Linked DNA regions of Macaca mulatta. Each later gene encodes a partner of the first gene's protein in a complex. Links are inferred from orthologs where the notes say so. Each region holds a gene or a part of one and is shown in the gene's direction. Other genes may lie near its edges.

Region 1 (3,554 bases):
CCTGCCTCGGCCTCCCAAAGTGTTGGGATTATAAGTGTGAGCCACAGTGCCGGCCTATTTTTAATATTTTATTCAATCCAATGTCGCTAACATTACTTCAAGATTATTTAACATAAAATTCTTGACAAGATAGTGAAGTTTCTTTTTCTTGTCATGCTGAGTCTTTGAAATGAGCCGTGTAAGCCATGCTAGTGGGGTGGCTGGCGCCTGTATCCCAGCACTTTCGGAGGCTGAGGCCAGTGGATCACCTGAGGTCAGATGTTCGAAAACCAGCATGGCCAACATGGTGAAATCCCGTCTCTACTAAAAATACAAAAAAATTAGCCAAGCGTGGTGGCAGTCATCTGTAATCCCAGCTACTTGGGAGGCTGAGGCAGGAGAATCGCTTGAACCCATGAGGCAGAGGTTATGGTGAGTTGAGATTGCATCATTGCACTCCAGCCTGGGCAACAAGAGTGAAACCATGTCTCAACAACAACAACAAAAAGAGAAATGAGCGGTGTATAATGTATTTTTCAGGTGCCCAGGTCTCTCATCAGAGCCCCATTTCAAGTGCTCAGTAACCCCCTTGCCCAGTGCCCCCCACCACATGGGAGAGCACAAGTCCAGTGGCTTCTCCAGCAGATGGCAGGGAGGGAACAAGGCAGACCCCAGAGGGCCAGGCCACAGCAGGGGCTGAGGATGCCTGGTGAATGGATGCCTGGGAGAATGGATGCCAGAATTCACGCACGAGGCCGTGAACAGGGCTGGGAAAACTCCCAAACGAAGGGAAGCACGTGTCTTGGTGCACCTTGTGATGCTTCAACAGCAGGACTGAGACGGAGACATTGACAATGAATAGAAATGTGCTGGCTCGAGTTCTGGACGCTGGGAAATCCACTGTCAAGGCACCAGCGACTTTCCAGGGCCTGCGAGCTGCACAGTCACGTGGGGGTGAAGGTTGTTGCCAGAAGGTCGGGGATGCTCCAGCCAGAGTGGCCTGGGATGTCGGGTCACTGCTGCTCCATGCCACGGGGACAAGAGGAAGCAGGAGTTTAATCTTACACACTGCCCCTCCAGCTAGTGGGCAAGAGACAGAAAGTGGGACTAAAGTCGCCCTTGAATAACCACAGCAGTGGCACCCACAAAGGTGGAGTCCCCACAACCTCATAGCCGCTTGTATGTGCCACCTCTTAATGGTTAATGGTAATGGTTATGGTTAAGGCCATTACCATAGCAATTAACACTGAACATGAGCTTTGGAGCAGACAATCACTCAAACTAATCAGGGGGATGGAGGAAAGGAGCTTCAGTGGCAAGATCCCCTGGACTCCTGTCCTGGCCCCTCCTCCCACTGCCCCAACCCTGCCCTCTCCTCCTGCTCCCCCTCTCAGAGCATCCCCTGCCCCTGCTCCTCTCCCAGGTGTATTCCAAGCCTGAGCACCACGCAGAAATGTGCTTCCTCTCTCGGTTCTGTGGCAACCAGCTGCCTGCTTACAAGCGCTTCCAGATCACCTGGTTTGTATCCTGGACCCCCTGCCCAGACTGTGTGGCGAAGGTGGCCGAATTCCTAGCTGAGCACCCTAATGTCACCCTGACCATCTCTGCCGCCCGCCTCTACTACTACTGGGAAACAGATTATCGCAGGGCGCTCTGCAGGCTGCGTCAGGCAGGGGCCCGAGTGAAGATCATGGACTCTGAAGGTGAGAGGAGGAGGGGTCAGGGGAGCGTGAGCGGGAGGAACAGCATGAGAGATGGATGGATCTGCAATGCCGTGGCAGGGGGCGTCCCAGGGCAACCTACAGGGGCAGGGCCAGGGCTGACCACAACTGACAGCCAGGAGAGCAGGCCTGGGAGGGCAGGACCAGGGTCGGGGAGAGCCTGACTGCTTCCCTCCTCTTCATCTCAGAATTTGCATACTGCTGGGAAAACTTTGTGTACAATGAAGGTCAGTCATTCATGCCTTGGGACAAATTCGATGACAATTATGCATTCCTGCACCACAAGCTAAAGGAGATTCTCAGGTGAGGGTCTCCCTCTGGCCTCATGGTCTCTCTCCTCTCACCTCCTGCTCATCCTCCTGAGGCCTCCCCTGGCCAGGCCCTCCTGCCCTCCCTTCTGCCCCCTGCCTGCCCTCATAGTTACACCCCCTCACCCCAACTCCTCGTGTTTCCTCCACCTCCCTGCCTCCTCCCTGCTTTCCTGGGCCCCTCCTGTGAGTGAGAGGCCCCTTTGGCCTCCAGAGTGACCTCCATCCACCCCCGAGGCCGCCCTCCCCACAGCCTGGGATCCCCAACCTGGCTCCTTCCATCTCCCTGGCATAACCGAATTTGTCATAACAGTGGACGTAAGTGGGTATGAATATTCACAAGCTCGACAGCCAGAAGCTTTGAGCAACATCCTTCAAGGCTGACCTGAGCCCTTGAGAAGGAGCCGCCACTGTGGGAACAGAGCTTCAGGCTTCGGCTGCCATAGAAGATGGCCTGGGCCGGGTGCCCACAGGGCCGGCATTTATTTTCTCACAGATCTGGAGGCTGCAAGTCCAGGGTGGAGGGGTGGGCGGGGCTGTGTCCTCTGCGGCCGCTCCTCCTGGCCCTGTCCTCTCTGGCCGTTCCTCTGTGCACCTGCAACCCTAGGGTCTATCTGCCTCTAAATGTCCTCCTTGTTTATGGTCCCCAGTCAGACAGGATTAGGGCCCACCCTAAGGACCATGAGTTAATTTAACCACCACTTTAGTGGACCTGTCTCCAAATACAGTTATCCTGTGAGGAGGTGGGATGAGGACTTCAACATATCAATGTTGGGAAGATACAATTTAGCCCATGACAACGACCCAGGGGGCTTTGGGTCAAGCTTGGGTGGTGTGTGCAGGGATCTCCGTTCTGTGTGTCTGTCTCCCAGGAGTCCTGTCCTGACCCTCACAGCACCTCCCTTCAGACCTTGCTGCACCCTGGGCCGCACCCCATGGCTTCCCCACCCAACAGCACGCAGCGCGGCCTCCTGCTCACACCCGTCACTTCTCAAATCCTCCCCACAGGATGGAGATGCAGAAAGAGCCAAACACTCAGTGATCAAGGTCCCATGTGAATAAATTTTTTTTTTTTTTTTTTGAGACAGCCTCTCCCTCAGTCGCCCAGGCTGGAGTGCTGTGGTGCGATCTCGGCTCACTGCAACCTCTGCTTCCCAGGTTCTAGCAATTCTCTTGTCTCAACCTCCCAAGTACCTGGGATTACAAGCACATGTCACCACACTGGCTAATATTTGTATCTTTAGTAGAGATGGGATTTTGCAGTGTTGGCCAGGTGTTGAGTGAGATTTTACAAAAGCGTAGGCTTGGATAACGGGAGGCTTGAGATGCCAGGAACCTTCCAGGAAGCACAATAGAAAAAGGCAACCAGGGACCAGACAGGCCATAGAAAGAGATCATCTAAGGCCCTTGGGAGAGACGGGAACTAAGCACCTGGGTCTTAGACCGGAAGAGCAAACTGCAAGACAGGGTGGCCAGGGACACCAAGCTCTGCCCTTTCATCACATATAGACAGGAGCTCAGCCAGCCAGGGAACAACTCTAGGCAG
Region 2 (3,554 bases), on another chromosome or scaffold:
GGCCCTAAAATTATGTTTTTAAAAGTAACTATTAGAATGGTGTAGTATTAGGAGTGGAAAGATTGTAGAAACTGTAATAAATTTCTCTTATATTGTTTATCACAATAAAATATTCACCTCAGGATAATAGAATTAGCACCATCCTTTCTGGGTGGATACTCTTGGGAACAATTGTATTTTGAGCCAATATGAGAATTAATTTGGTGATCAAAATGATCTAAATTTGGGTATGATGTATACCTAAAGCAATTTTTAATCTAGAGTTATTTACTTGAAAAAGAATGGTGAAGAAACTTTTTTTGTGTGTGTTTGTTTTTTGTTTTTCCAGAAGAAAAGTTAAAATGTGAAACAGAAGTTTTCTTTCTTTTTTTTTTCCTCTCTCTTTTTTTTTGTGTTTCCACTGTCACCCAGACTGGAGTGCAGTGGCACTATCTCAGCTCACTGCACTCTCCGCCTCCCGAATTCAAGTGGTTCTCTTGCCTCAGCCTCCTGAGTAGCTGGGATTATAGCTGTGGTTGCAACCATGCCTGGCTAATTTTTGTATTTTCAGTAGAGATGGGGTTTTGCCGTGTTGGCCAGGCTGGTCTCAAACTCCTGACTTCAGGTGATTCGCCCGCCTTGGCCTCCCGAAGTATTGGGATTACAGGTGTGAGCCACTGCACCTAGCCAGGATGTAGGAGTTTTATCATAAAGCTGAAGGTTCACCAGATGGGAGATACTTTTGGTTTCAGCAATTTTGAAGATCTTTTTAAAATTTGTTGGTACTTTTTTAAACCTCAGTGTATAAAGTATAGTGAACATATTTGTCAGTGACTTGAGATGTTACCATATCCTAGGATACTCATTTTTGATATTTCTCTAATGTATAAGCATATATACTTGTTGGATGTGAAACAATAGGAAGTCTGGCTAATTTTCTTATCTAAAGGTATTATGTGTAAGGAATAAACACATTTCCATTAAGAATTCAAGATGCTTGGTTAAGTTTATTCATTTTGTTATTTTTATTTTTTAACTTTTTAGAGGTGAGGTCTCTCTATGTTGCCCAGGCAGGTCTTGAACTCCTGGCCTCAAGTGATCCTCACACCTTGGCCTCACAAAGTACTGGGATAACAGGCATTAGCCACTGGTGCCTAGCCTTATTGTCTTAGTTGATTTTGTTATAGTATTTAAGAATTTCAACAGGGAATTGAAAGAAGTAGATTTTGGGTTAACTTACCAGTTTCGAGATCAATGATTCATACTACATGTAGTCAAACCCTGTGACTTTATAACTTTTCTACTGTATTTAAAAGACTGATTCAGCTTACTGTTGCATATTGGGAAAAGTAAAAAATAATAAATAAAAGACTGTGAAATAACTTGAATTAAATTTCATAATCCCATATAAAGGATAGCAGTGTTTTGTTCCGAATTATTTATGGACACCTAAAGATAACCACATACTACTTAACGTGATTTAACCAGTTCAAGTTCTTTGGTTAAAAGCAGTAGAAATCAACTCTGGCTAACAAGACAAAAAAATAAAAAGAAAAAAAGATTAATTATCAGGAATCTATGAGATAGCTTATAAAACTGAAGGGAATATCAAGAGCCTGATCCTGCATGGCTCCAGGAACCCACGTTGAGGGAAGCAGTGCATGCTCTCTTCAGCGGGTGGTGGCTTCCAATTGTTTCCCATCTTTCTACCCAACATTCAAAAATCAAAGTGTCTGGCCAGGCGTGGTAGCTCATGCCTGTAATCCTAGCACTTTCGGAGGCCAAGGCGGGCGGATTGCCTAGCTCAGGAGTTCGAGACCAGCCTGGGCAACATGGTGAAACCCCATCTCTACTAAAAATACCAAAAAAAAAAAAAAAATTAGCCACGCATGGTGCTTGAGCGCCTGTAATCCCAGCTACTTGGGGGGAGTCTGAGGCGGGAGAATTGCTTGAACCTGGGAGGCAGAGGTTGCAGTGAATTGAGATCGTGGCACTGCATTCCAGCCTGGGGAGCACAGCGAAACTCCATCTCAGTCAATCAATCAATCAATCAATCATAATTTTATTCATCTTTTCTACAGAGTTTATATAAGTAAGTTTAATCTTTTTATTTTCATGTGTCTGATGCTTTTCAATGATTTTCGTCCTTTTCTGTGTCTTAGGTGTATTTGAAGGCTCCCATGATTCTGAATGGAGTCTGTGTTATCTGGAAAGGCTGGATTGATCTCCAGAGACTGGATGGTATGGGCTGTCTGGAGTTTGATGAGGAGCGAGCCCAGGTAGGGTGACGTCAGGCTTTATTGAGCATGGTCCCTTTATTTGTAGTCCCTAATCTTGCCTTTGTCTGGGGACCTATTTTACCCAATCTTTAAGTATAGAAAGTATTATGTCGAAGCAATATTGAGGAATCCTGAAAATGTTGAGACTCAAATTCTGATCCTGATTTTGGGAAACTTTTTTCTTTAGCAGTTCTAAATTTCATGGGTTATTGGTATCTGCTCAGTGGGGGGCTCCAAAGTCCAGTAAGTAGTTCTTTAAAATATTTGTTCTTGATCTCTAGAATATTATGAATAGGGAAAAAAGAAAAAGCAGTTCAAAATAAAATGTAGGAGCCGCGCTTTTGGAATGCTTGAGTGAGGAGCTCAACAAGTCCTCTCCCCAGAAAGCAATGATACAACTTGACAAAAATTGTTTAAAAAAAAAAAAAAAAAGAGCTGGACATGGTGGCTCACACCTATAATCCCAGTACTTTGGGAGGCCAAGGCAGACAGATCACCTGAGACTTGAGGTCAGGATTTCAAGACCAGCCTGGCCAACATGGTGAAACCCCGTCTCTACTAAAAATATAAAAATTATCCAGGTGTGGTACACACCTGTAATCCCAGCTGCTTGGGAGGTTGAGGCACAAGAATCGCTCGAACCCAGGAGGCAGAGATTGCGGTGAGCCAAGATGGTGCCAGTGCACTCCAGGCTGGGCAACAGAACAAAAGTCTGTCTCAAAAACAACAACAACAAACCACACCCATTTAAGGCCTCATGGAAGCTATTGAATCTCAGTAAGATCAGTGACTGTGGCATTTTAGTCAGGAGCTGCTCCCATTCCCCAGCTGTGTGGTCCCTCAAGTTCTTCCTGGGCAGGCAGGGTAAGCCATGAGCACTGGTAGATCTGTTGTCCTGCCAAAGAGAGCTGACTTTATTAAAAGTAGGGCTTGGGAAAAAAAAATCCATGCCCAGGCATATTGTTTAAAATGATAGAGGTCTCATTTGCAAACAATCTGGCAAAGCTAATGTTGCAGAAAGCAACGAAATGGCAGACCAGCCAGAAATTTATCAGGGAGATTCAGGGAAAGAGATAGGTAAAGTAGACCCTAGTAAGATTACACTCATGTCATCCAGAAAGCTGTATGCACGTACAAGGCTACATCTGCTCTGAAGAGAACACAGAAGGCCCTTGCATGCTACTTTTCCCTGGGTGAACACAAAATAGACTGACAAACTCCCTGAACTTTGAAAGCATTTCCCCAAGCCACACACAAGTCCAGTGACAAAAGGTGGAAGTCTGCTGGCTCAAGGTG

Evidence for each region.
Region 2: the proteins of APOBEC3F (region 1) and CBFB are in contact, whole or in part, in a cryo-EM structure (PDB 6NIL), measured with the Homo sapiens proteins. The link is inferred for Macaca mulatta from reciprocal best matches to the Homo sapiens genes APOBEC3F and CBFB. Residues at the interface, in NP_660341.2 of Homo sapiens: Glu289, Leu291, Ala292, Arg293, His294, Ser295, Asn296, Glu324; in NP_001746.1 of Homo sapiens: Phe32, Asp34, Arg35, Arg43, Glu54.

The regions. Positions count from the first base shown.
Region 1 is NC_133415.1:12,514,911-12,518,464, reverse strand, and holds part of APOBEC3F (DNA dC->dU-editing enzyme APOBEC-3F), read left to right. Parts: intron 1-519; coding exon of another isoform or gene 520-831; exon of another isoform or gene 832-979; intron 980-1,402; coding exon 1,403-1,682; intron 1,683-1,888; coding exon 1,889-2,003; intron 2,004-3,554.
Region 2 is NC_133425.1:62,604,034-62,607,587, forward strand, and holds part of CBFB (core-binding factor subunit beta), read left to right. Parts: intron 1-2,141; coding exon 2,142-2,258; exon of another isoform or gene 2,259-2,692; intron 2,693-2,875; exon of another isoform or gene 2,876-3,554. UniProt on the Homo sapiens protein: Forms the heterodimeric complex core-binding factor (CBF) with RUNX family proteins (RUNX1, RUNX2, and RUNX3).